Arabidopsis thaliana: one gene and its partner. The protein of the gene in region 2 interacts with the protein of the main gene of each other region in a pairwise test. Each region holds a gene or a part of one and is shown on either strand. Other genes may lie near its edges.

Region 1 (5,218 bases), on a different chromosome or scaffold from region 2:
AAAGTGACAATAATAGGGTTTAAGCAAAAATGCAATTTTCCTGAAAATTTAGGGGTTTAACTCCTGAAACGCTGCGTTTTAATGCTGTGATATGATATTTTCAAGTTGGTTTATTCTGGCTTGGGCTTTTAAGCCCATTTATGCCAGATATTTGGGTCCAGTCCCGGAATCGCTTACCAACAAGAACAATTTAACTTAAATTACTTTTCGATTTTAGTTCTTATGAAAATTGAGGGCTTTTCTCGGTGCCCTAGAATTGATCGGAAAAATGTTTTCTTCATGGCAGAGCAAGGGAGTGCATGCTTCGACGGATCAGAAACCAATTCCTGAACAAGTATGAGAATTTAGTTTATTTCAGTTTTTGTTTTGATTATTTATTTGCTCTTTGTAGTTTTGATTGGATCCCTTGAGTCCTTGACGCTGCCATATGCTTATATTTGCTTACTCCCTGAAACGCTTTCTTTCCTATAAAGATGTTTTAAGGTAGTTTTATGAAATTTTGGGCTTTTAGCCCATTTATGCCAAATGTTTTGGTGATTAGGTTTATTATCTATGAAACCCTAATATATTATCTTGAGGCATACGCTATTTAAGAAACACCAGTACCCATTAAACCTAATAGGCGAGAGAGAACAAAATATGAACCGCTCTATATCTTCTTCTAAGATTATGAGAGGCGAGCATAGATCATAAGACAACCTTATTAGAGTCTCTGCAAGTGAGTCCAGTGAAGACGAGTAAGGTTCATAAGAGTTGGGTGAAGAGGACGAGGCTAGCTCAGAAGAATCAAGTGAATAAGAACACAGTGATGTGACCTATCATCACCGCGTTCTTTTCTTCTCCCAGACTCTTCTGAGCTAGTTACGTCTTCACCTAACTAATTCAAGAAATATTATTTGACAAATAGTTTTCCTTCAATCATAACTGTCACAATTTTGTTACACATTTACTTACCTTTAGTACAACATAATATTGCAAACCAAATTAATCTTGACGAGAGTGTGTAATGTAAAAAACGTACTAACACAATAAGTTATCAGAATCTTTAACTTGCAATCTCACCAAAGCCTCTTCACAAATCTCAGGAGGAAACTCTTTTAAGAACTCAGTAACAATACGTTCTTGATCTCTCTGCATCTCTTCAATCTCCTCTCTCTGTTTCCTCAACAAAGACTCAAGTTTCTCTACTATAACCCCAACTTCTTGATTGATCGGTCCTTGTGCTGACGACAACTTAGAATTAGACCGTGGCGCAAACGGTGAACGTGAGTCTCCAGCTCCAGCTTTAGGAGAGGACCAGAATTTTCTCCCTGAAGGAAATCTATCTAAATGGAGCGTCTCTGGAGAAGACAAACATTTTTGTACCGCTGAATCATCACCGATAAGTCGAGAAGGGGTCCAATCGGGGATGTGTGAATGTATCTCTGTGTCGATCATTTTAGCTATCGTTGAGATGTCTTGATCATCGGTTAAGTCTAGTTCTTCGACCATTTCGATGGCGACTGAGAAAGATGTGTCTGTCTCTATGTTAAATGGGAAGTGGATATTGCGGATTTGACCTGTATAAAAAATGTTATTATTGTGTCAAAAGAAGATTTAGTAATGATCTGAAGATTTGTAATAAAAAAAGCAAAAAAGATTTTGAACCTTTGGAATCGGTGATACGTAGTTTTAGGAAGATTGTGTTGAGGTCTTTACGTTGGCCTTCTACGGTTAATAAGCCTACCTCAGAATCCGAGAGTTTATCCACGATTCCGTTTCCGTTGTAACCATTTTCTGTGACAATGTTATTGAACTTGGTGTTAGAAAATTTCACATAGAAAAAATATAGAAACTATCTTATGTTACTATTATTGATTTTAACTTTTAAGAAAGGAGTCCATGACACTTCATATTGAGATGAAATGAAATACCATAATCTGATATTACCTTTGTGAGAGCTGACGTTTTCGGTATTTTCCTTGTAGCATTTCAGAAAAGGATCATCAAGTAGTTCCTTGGCTGACAAGCGTTGCGAGACCTTTGCGATACACTTCTCTATGAATGCTCTCACTTGCGGATCAGTCACATTTAAAAGAGCGGCTGGTTTGATTCCCTAAGAAGCATTGAGAAAAATGGATCGACAATATGGAAAAAGTCATTCTTGATTGGATATGAGATGGGAATATGATCACTTACCGATGTAACTTTCCTATAAATCTGAGCAGCATTTGTGCATTCGGAATACGGGTATTCAAAAGTTACCAGCTCAAGCAAACACATTCCAAACGCGTAGATATCGACAAGTACATTATAGTCCTCTTCATAGAGTTCCGGCGCCATAAATTCAGGAGTTCCTTAAACAATTTCAAACACAAAATTATAGTTTCACAATGGAGAAACTTTTTCGTTTGAGAACAAGATTAAAGATCTCACCGATGACGCTATGAGCAGAGCGAGCGCGGTGCAGAATCGCGGCTAGCCCTAGATCTCCAATTTTGACCTCACCTTGGTTCCCATTAATGAAAATGTTATCACATTTAAGATCTCTATGGATCACAGGAGGATCATGGCTATGTAGATAAACAAGCCCTTCTAAGATCTGCCTTGACCATTTCTTCAATGCTCTTAGATCAACACACTTATGTTTCTTCCGGTACCTATAAGGGTTTGTCAAACATGAATAATATTGATCAAATAAAAAAGATTTGATTTGACTTCTGAGAGAGGAATCTGACTGTCTAAGATTTCCGGAAGTGAAGACTTCGGTGATGAGATTGATAGTCATGTGTTGGTGATCGATCCAAGAAGTGTAGAATTTGATGATGCTTTTGTGTTTAAGGGTTTTGAGTAAGTGAACTTCAGAGTAAAGACGATCTAAATCCTCTGAGCTACAGAATTTATCATCTAACTTAACTTGGTTCCAAGCCACTTCGATTCCTTCAAGTTGGTCAAATGCTCTGTATCTGAAGAACTCTCTGATCAAAGAAACCCTTTAGTGACTGTGTCTTGTCCGAATCTAATCTGATTTGTCTCTGTAGTAATAACAGAGATCTAAGAAAAAGGATACACTTCTTTGAAAGCTCCTTTGCCTAGAACTTCTTTATACTGAAAACATGAGAAACAAAAACATTAGAATTGAGAAAAAGGTAACACTAAAATCAAGTAAAGAAGAACAGACCCGGCCATAGCGACCAGTGGGATCAATCTCAACGAATTCTTCCTCGGAGTTATTCTCGTCTTGTCGCATTCTTGGTTACTTGCAATTCAAAACAGATGATAGGAGTTCTTGAGAGAAGAGAGAAATTTAGTCAAGGAAGAACAAGTTTTGAAGCAGTTTCTGATAATAATAATAATCATTACTTAGCTGTCTTTTTGTGTATAAATCGATTATTTAGATTTTGTGCCATTAAAACCAAGCTTAAGCTTTTCCAGCTGCTGATCATAATGGTGTCGACTGTAGAATGTTGTACACTCTCTCTCTTTCTCATCTTCGAATTTAGGACACTCAGATCCACTGGACAAGACCACGTGGCAAAGGTGTGGGTCGTTGCTTTTTTCGCGCCATGGATCTGGTTTTTTATTTGATTTTCTTCTCATTTATTGTCATGTTACTCTAATCAATTATTTTGCTTATTCAGTCAACTTCATGGTGTTGTGAATATAAAATATTCGGACTTTTTTTTTCCCCTTCTTAACTCTTAAGTCACTGTTTTAGCTGACTAAGAACCCTATAATTGACTATCCTACAAATCGAATAATGGGTTTGGTAAATTACAAAATGTTTAGCCATTGAACCCGCTTGTCATGGTAACGAATTCGATTTTACTGTGTGTAAACAACAATTTGGACTTCAGCTTCAGTTCTTTTAAACTTAAGGAAACTTTTCACTAAAGGGTTTTGCTCTCTCTCTCAGGATTAATAGAATAATAGTCATAGTTTTTGGTGAAACATAAATATTCAATGTTGTTACACTTTAAATAGAAACTTGTACTGACACAAATCACTACACTAATGTTATGATCATTTGTTATAATCTATTACTTCTACTTATATCTCAAAATATAAATGTTTTACATATTGGAGACAGAATGTTTGAGACGAATTAGGACATTTAAATTTTCATGGAGAATTGTTTGTTGAACAATGTTGTCGTTGTATTTTTGATGAGTATGAATTGGCGGTTCAGCCGTTTAAAAACCGATTATATACAATGATCATCAAATTTTTGTAAGGCCCATTGGGCCCAGAGTATATAAATCCTTAGAGCTGACGGCAGCCTGAGACCATTATCCTAGGCACTTGTATTGTATGGTGGTAAGACACATCGTGGAAGCACCGAAAGACTAGAACGGTGACACGACCAAAATAAGACATAAATCGTAAACGCACCAAATGACTTTCACAAGGAAAAATCTCGAAGAACTAAACATTAAAAGACTGGTGCATGCATAAATACATAAGTCCAAAAGATTGAGTGGACAGTAATTACGTACTAGTACTACCGTGAAGAAACTTGGCTTGTATATGTAAGTCCAAAAAAACCACAAATAAAAACTCTTCACAAGAACACGTTTTGATGTACTTGAAGAATCCAGACATGATGATCATGTTCTTTCTGTTATGCTCAATAATCTTTGTAGTTACCATCATAATTTTCAGAAAACAGAAGAGAGGGAAGAAAAGAAACACACTTCCGTCACCACCGGGACTACCGTTGATCGGAAACCTTCATCAACTCGGCCGCCACCCTCACCGATCACTATGCTCTCTCAGCCACCGGTACGGTCCTCTTATGCTTCTTCACTTTGGCCGTGTCCCCGTTCTTGTAGTATCTTCAGCTGAATTGGCTAGAGACGTTTTGAAGACGCATGACCGTGTTTTCGCAAGCCGGCCACGGTCAAAAATCTTCGAGAAACTTCTTTACGATAAGCATGATGTGGCCTCAGCTCCTTATGGAGAGTACTGGAGGCAAATGAAAAGTGTGTGCGTCCTCCATCTATTCAGCAACAAAATGGTACGATCCTTTCGAGAAGTGAGAGAAGAAGAGATCAGTCTGATGATGGAAAAGATCAGGAAATCGATTTCTTTGCCGGTAAATCTAAGCAAGATCTTGGTGAGTTTAACTAACGATGTGATATGTAAAGTTGCTTTGGGACGGAAATACGGTGGTGAAACGGATTTTAAGGAGTTAATGGAGAGACTAAATAAACTATTGGGGACGTTTAGTGTGGGGAGT
Region 2 (6,327 bases):
AGCTTTAATCATCCTAACACACTTCCCAGTCTTAACCTCCCAAATACGAATCGTCTCATCGAACGATCCAGACACAATCAAATTCGAAGGAGGATTGAAATTAACACAGAAGACGAAATTCGTATGACCTCTAAGAACCTTAAGACATTCATAAGGAGATCTAGCGTCCCAGATTCGAAGCGTACAATCATCAGAAGCAGAGCAAGTGTAATGCGAATCAGAAGACCAAGCTAGATCGGAGATACCACTAGAGTGACCTTCGTAACGATGAATGAGAGAGTAGTTTGTTGCTGACCAGAGGATCATGGTTTTGTCTACGGAAGCGGAAGCGAGAAGATTGCCGTCGTTGGAGAATTTGACGCAAGAGATCGCCGCCGTGTGACCTTCTAGGGTTTTCAGGTGACGGTATGGCTTATATATCGGAACGTTTCCGCTTGTTCCTGCGTTACCGGTGGAATTCGCGTTAGCGACTCCGTTACTTGTTCCGTTACCACCGCTTGGCATCGTCGTCTCTCGTCGGATTTAGCAGAGTGGAGATGATCTCAATGAATCTCTCACCGTTACATATATATACATTCCGTTGACCATGACCTCTTGGGAATTACATTTTTACCCTTCATTCCTCATTTCTCGTATTGGTGGTTCTTCGGCTCGGTTCGGTTCGATTTGAATTTGTCGATTTTGTTGAACTAAAATTGGTCCGGTTCGTTTGGTTTATTTAGTTCGAAGGCACTTTATTCGGTTGGTTTCAGTAATGAGGTTTCGGTATATTTGGGTTAATTTCGGTTTGTATAATCGGTTCAATTCGATTTTAATGCCCACTACATTAGAGGACTCTGAAATCAAGATTTATGTATCCAAACATCTGTGAATGAAATTGAGATAAATCCATAGATGATGGTTATATTATACACACAACAGAAGGGAAGATTTATGCAAGAAACGAATGTAATTTTGAACATTGAGAAGATCCTATGAAGGCTTGTTTTTGCCGTAAATATCTTCAAAACCATCAGCTACTCGTTTCCTTCTTTCAGCAATCATTTCTGAATACGACTGAACCAAAGTACACGAAAAAACCACCAGAATCTCAAAGACAAGACCAAAGTAAAGTCTTGTTCACTAAGATTATAGAAACTAGCATTGTCTGAAGATGTTTAAACAGGATTTTTACTTTAACTTAGACTTAGTAAATTAGAGCTACGAACATTTCTTTAGTAAGGGAATGAAAAGGAGAGGTTGTTAGATGATGGAAGGGAAAATCATACCTTTGGGTAGCTATAAAGGAATATGTACCACCAAGCACCAATTACACCAACCGCAAGCGATGAAACTATGACCGAGTGTAGTATTACCCAGCTACATGCCACTATTGATAGACCCGTTAACATTATCGTCCATGGCTGACACCTGAGAAACATAGCCAGTTGCTTATTCAAAACCATACGGAAGAACACTAGGCCCTGAAAACGTCTAAGAAGAACCGTAAAGTTCTTGATTGCAAATACACACCAGATCAATAGATATTCAAAGCTGTAGATGCTGAGGTCGAAATGTTAAACCCTTCTTAACCCAATTACCATTACATAATCTGTATTTTGGTTCTTCACTATCTTCCTAACCAAAAGATTCAAACTTTTTCTTTCTATCTTCTAAACCACAACACACAATCATGAAACTGTAATGGGGTAAGTCTTGTTTTAAGTAGCATCAATAAATATATAGCTTCATATATGATTCAAAAAAGTTCTTGGGCAGGCATAAATCACTGAAAATGCTAATAAAGATTAAGGATTGGTCCACTTAAAAGTGAACTTAAGACTCTATCTAAGCTATAATCCCATATTCACAACCAACAAATACGATTCCTCATAAGTCTTAGGACCAAATCCAAACTACTTGAAATAAAATTGTTGGGAACTTAAATGAGATTTACCAAGAGGGTTTAGTGTCCCAAACAGAGTCGTATTCGAGAGAGAGATTGTCTAAGAAACCTTCCATGTCATCAACTACGCCTTTTTCATCGACAAATCTTGAATCCTTCGGCTCTCTCCGATTCCCACCAAAACTTCTAACTTTCGTACTAATCCTTATTGGTTTGAGATTGAACGAGTGTAAGTTCGTTCGGAAACTGAGTTTTGAAAGAAGATTCTCTGTTTGAGGCCGAAACGGCGACAGAGACACGGCGGACATGGAGAGACTTGCCATCTGAAGACGACGATAAGGATAGAGGACTCGATTGACTCTAATTAAAATGTGGGGTGCTTTGTGTAAAATCAAAACATGATTTTCAGTGGTGAATAATGATAAATATTGGGCCTATTCGTTAAGGGCCCAATAAGTAAAAAGGCGCAGATACTGTATATGAATCAAAGCCCTAATTTATCAGACAGCTGCTTAGATTTTGTTTTCTTCATTGTCGTCGTCGGAGTGAATTAGGGATTCGAGAATGACGATGAACTCGCTTCCGAGGAGATTTGGGAAGAATCATGGCTATTTGGATCGAGATTATCGAAACGGAAGACGATCTGGTTCAGATTCCGATGAAGAATTGAAGGGATTGAGTCACGAAGAGTATAGGAGGCAGAAACGGCTTAAGATGAGGAAATCAGCCAAGTTCTGCTTTTGGGAGAACACACCGAGTCCACCTAGAGATCAGAACGAGGATTCCGATGAGAACGCCGACGAGATTCAGGACAAGAACGGCGGCGAAAGAGATGATAATTCGAAAGGGAAAGAAAGGAAAGGTAAATCTGACTCGGAATCTGAATCTGATGGTTTGAGATCTAGGAAGAGGAAGAGTAAGAGCTCGAGGTCTAAGCGCAGGAGAAAGAGATCTTATGACAGCGATAGTGAATCCGAAGGGAGTGAGAGTGATTCGGAAGAGGAAGATAGGAGACGAAGGAGGAAGAGTTCTTCTAAGAGGAAGAAGAGTAGAAGCAGCCGTAGTTTTAGGAAAAAGCGAAGTCATAGGAGAAAGACGAAATACAGTGACTCTGATGAGAGCAGCGATGAAGATAGTAAAGCTGAGATTAGTGCTTCTTCGTCTGGGGAGGAAGAAGATACCAAGTCAAAGAGCAAGAGGCGGAAGAAATCTTCGGATTCTAGTTCAAAACGAAGCAAGGGAGAGAAGACGAAGTCAGGGAGTGACAGCGATGGTACTGAGGAAGATTCGAAGATGCAAGTAGACGAAACGGTGAAGAACACTGAGCTAGAACTTGATGAAGAAGAGTTGAAGAAGTTCAAAGAGATGATTGAATTAAAGAAGAAATCTTCAGCTGTTGATGAAGAGGAAGAAGAAGGTGATGTTGGTCCAATGCCATTACCTAAAGCTGAAGGTCACATCAGTTATGGTGGTGCTTTAAGACCCGGTGAAGGAGACGCCATTGCACAGTATGTTCAGCAAGGTAAACGTATCCCACGTAGAGGAGAAGTGGGTCTTAACGCTGAAGAGATTCAGAAGTTTGAGGATCTTGGTTATGTGATGAGTGGAAGTAGGCATCAAAGGATGAATGCTATTCGTATTAGAAAAGAAAACCAGGTTTACAGTGCTGAAGACAAACGGGCATTGGCCATGTTTAACTACGAGGAGAAGGCGAAGCGCGAGGCTAAGGTTATGTCTGATCTGCAGCGGCTTGTGCAGCGCCATATGGGAGAAGAGGTGGGGCCAAATCATGACCCTTTCGGTGCTGGAAAGACTGAAGAAGATGATGATTGATTTTGCTTGGCTTCCTGCTTCTGTTATGTGGGTACTCATCTTATGCTTTATCTTGTTGAATGTTCCTTATTTGCATCATAGATACTGCTGTTTGCTACTTGCCCGTTAATGAGCTTCGTAGTTTATGCTTTAATCTGCTATGTATCCGTTAATGAGCTTCATAGTTTATGCGTTAATCTGCTATGTATCACATGATTGTGTTTGTGTGTCAAAGATAATAGATTCTGACACTGAGGATCTGCAACCGTTCTTGTGCATTTACCTTAGGTCATGTTCGATGATTGAATTTTGCAGGGCATTCACTTAGTTCTGAGATTGTAGAACAATCAATTATTTAGGATATCCGCTTTGAGCCCACCACTGTATTTTCGAATAATGTCCTTTAATGAGCTTCACAGATTATGCATTCCTCCCTCTGTATTCATATCATTGCGTTTGTCTGTTAAGAATCCAGTCATATCATCATCAATGTTATCATTGTCACCATTATTATCATCATTCTATTTTTAGAACTGTGAAACAAAACAAGTACTTATATATATTATTGGGGATCTCTATAATTGTGAAGTGCAATAATTTCGGAATTTGGAGGCAGATAAAATTTGCAATAATATCCGAATTTGCAGGCAGATCATATTATTGGTAAATTACCTGCAAGGGTTCCAATTATAGTTTATGATTCCACTTTTGTGGAACTATACAATGTCTGAATCTGTTCTCAATAAATGCACTATCTCAATAGAAGACCCTACCAAGTACCTAGTCCATAATCTATTATTCGTTTCATAAATAATAACATATAAATCATTCAAAGAAGCAAAATGATTTTGGTTAAGAATTGAATGACAAAGAAAACGACATCTGTTCAATTTAGAGGAGATTAGCATTTTCGTATTACTATTCAAAGCTTAAAAATAGTATTTAAAAACAAAAAAATTATCAAAGAAATGTCATGTAAAGGTCCTCTTCTCATGCACGAAACGAATGATAATTAAATTAATTTATGAGCAAGACGCTTAAGTGATCCTTAATTGCTTTGTTTATAAAATAGTTTAATTATTATTACTCTGCTCAAGTAAAGAACGTGAAGGACAAAATGGTAACTGAATATAGTAAAGGGTATTAATGTAATTTCAATTCAGCAGACTCATGAAGTAACTGTGCCTACTTAAAGACAACTGCTCTGTTCTCTCTCTCTCCTTCGTCTCTATCAAGCTCATTTCTCAGATCCGTAGGATCTTCATTTCCATGGAGGCTTAAAAACCCTAGAAGATATTCTTTTACACATCACTCATCCGCTAGTGAAGATAAAAATCATTTCTAGAGCTTCCTCTTTCTCTCTCTGTATGATCTGAAGCGAATCGTCTTTAGATTCTTCACCAATCACTATCAAAAGGACCTCTTTTTAAAGGTGAATTTCTCTATGGAAGCTGTCTTATATGTTCCTTTTTTCAGGATCTGATCTTTTCATTTCGCTTTGTTTCTTTGTATGTGATGATTTACTTGGTTTTCCCCCATTTCTCTGGCTTGCAATTGTTTGTTTCAGCTTTTCGAGACGAGCTGGGTTTCGGATCCTGTGAGCTTCAGAGACGCTTACTGGTTTATCAACAAGGCTTTCCCTTTGAATCAAGCTTTGATTGAGAAAGGAGTGAAAAGATTTTGATTTTGATCAGATACACAAAGTGTTCTTGCGTTAGTTAAGCGACTAGGTGTGTGTTGTTGTAGTGAAAGCTTCTTACTGTTGACAGTATCTCGAAATGGAAACGCTTATTGTAGCTGTGGAACATAGGGATCAATATTATGGGAAGAAATCTCTTGGACATGATCGTTTTAGATCAGCTCCTTCCAAAACTTTTAGGCAGATCAATTGCAGAACTTTTCAATCTGGTGTGGGTTTGCTTCCAAGACCTAAGAGAACTTCTTCAACACCTTTAACCAAAGGAGCTCTTTCTCAAGTTCAGTCTCCTCGTTCTCCTAAGTCCGTTTTACCGGTTTTTCATCATCCATCTGTTGACAGTGGTAGAACCAGTCCCATTCCAATTGCTAATTGCAGAGGTTCTCAGATCCGTAGGTGTTCTAGTGAGTTTGTTGACAAAAGGAGAAGCCTTTCTTATTCTGAGCTATGGGCAGGACCTACTTACTCTAACTCACCTCCACCTGCTTCTGTGCCGATTCCTAAGTTTTCTCTCCAGCAAAAGAGGACGGTATCTTTGACCTTTCCTGCTCCTGACTCTGCTGTTGATATTCGTGAAGTTGCTAAGTCTGCACCAGTTTCTCCAACCTCATCTGGTGACAATCCTTTTCGTAGTACTGTCTCTGCCACTATGACACTGCGTCGCATGCTCAATCTTGAGCTTGAGACTGCAGATGAATGAAGATCAGGAGCCTTTAGGGGGAACGGGGTTAGTTTTAGTTTTATGCACATAGAAATAAGGTGTTAGTCACCAAGCTGGTTTGAGTTTGTTTCTTAGCTTTTAATGGTGATGGTAAAGGAATACGTAAGCAGTCTTGACTCGGAGTTTGTCAGCAGTTACTGGATCTCCTGGTGCAGATTGGGGTGTTATTAGTGGTGGAACAGCTGGTTATAGCGAGTAGAAACATTCAAGTAA

The links. The genes of interacting proteins can lie anywhere in the genome.
Region 1: the proteins of AT4G02725 (region 2) and WNK3 interact in a protein complementation assay, tested with the Arabidopsis thaliana proteins (one large-scale study listed by BioGRID).

The regions. Positions count from the first base shown.
Region 1 is NC_003074.8:17,871,992-17,877,209, forward strand, and holds WNK3 (with no lysine (K) kinase 3), read right to left. Parts: upstream 3,540-5,218; 5' UTR 3,230-3,539; coding exon 3,161-3,229; intron 3,088-3,160; coding exon 3,050-3,087; exon of another isoform or gene 2,946-3,049; coding exon 2,718-2,945; intron 2,640-2,717; coding exon 2,416-2,639; intron 2,337-2,415; coding exon 2,179-2,336; intron 2,096-2,178; coding exon 1,930-2,095; intron 1,777-1,929; coding exon 1,648-1,776; intron 1,560-1,647; coding exon 1,021-1,559; 3' UTR 829-1,020; downstream 1-828. Other genes in the region: CYP71A26 (cytochrome P450, family 71, subfamily A, polypeptide 26), read left to right, coding at 4,580-5,218. UniProt on the Arabidopsis thaliana protein: May regulate flowering time by modulating the photoperiod pathway.
Region 2 is NC_003075.7:1,201,936-1,208,262, reverse strand, and holds AT4G02725 (spindle pole body-associated protein), read right to left. Parts: upstream 4,251-6,327; 5' UTR 3,719-4,250; coding exon of another isoform or gene 2,450-3,718; 5' UTR 2,209-2,449; coding exon 1,937-2,208; intron 1,411-1,936; coding exon 1,269-1,410; coding exon of another isoform or gene 1,263-1,268; exon of another isoform or gene 1,057-1,262; coding exon 973-1,056; 3' UTR 827-972; downstream 1-826. Other genes in the region: WDR5b (Transducin/WD40 repeat-like superfamily protein), read right to left, coding at 1-504; AT4G02720 (Ras-induced vulval development antagonist protein), read left to right, coding at 2,450-3,718; AT4G02715 (flocculation FLO11-like protein), read left to right, coding at 5,476-6,093.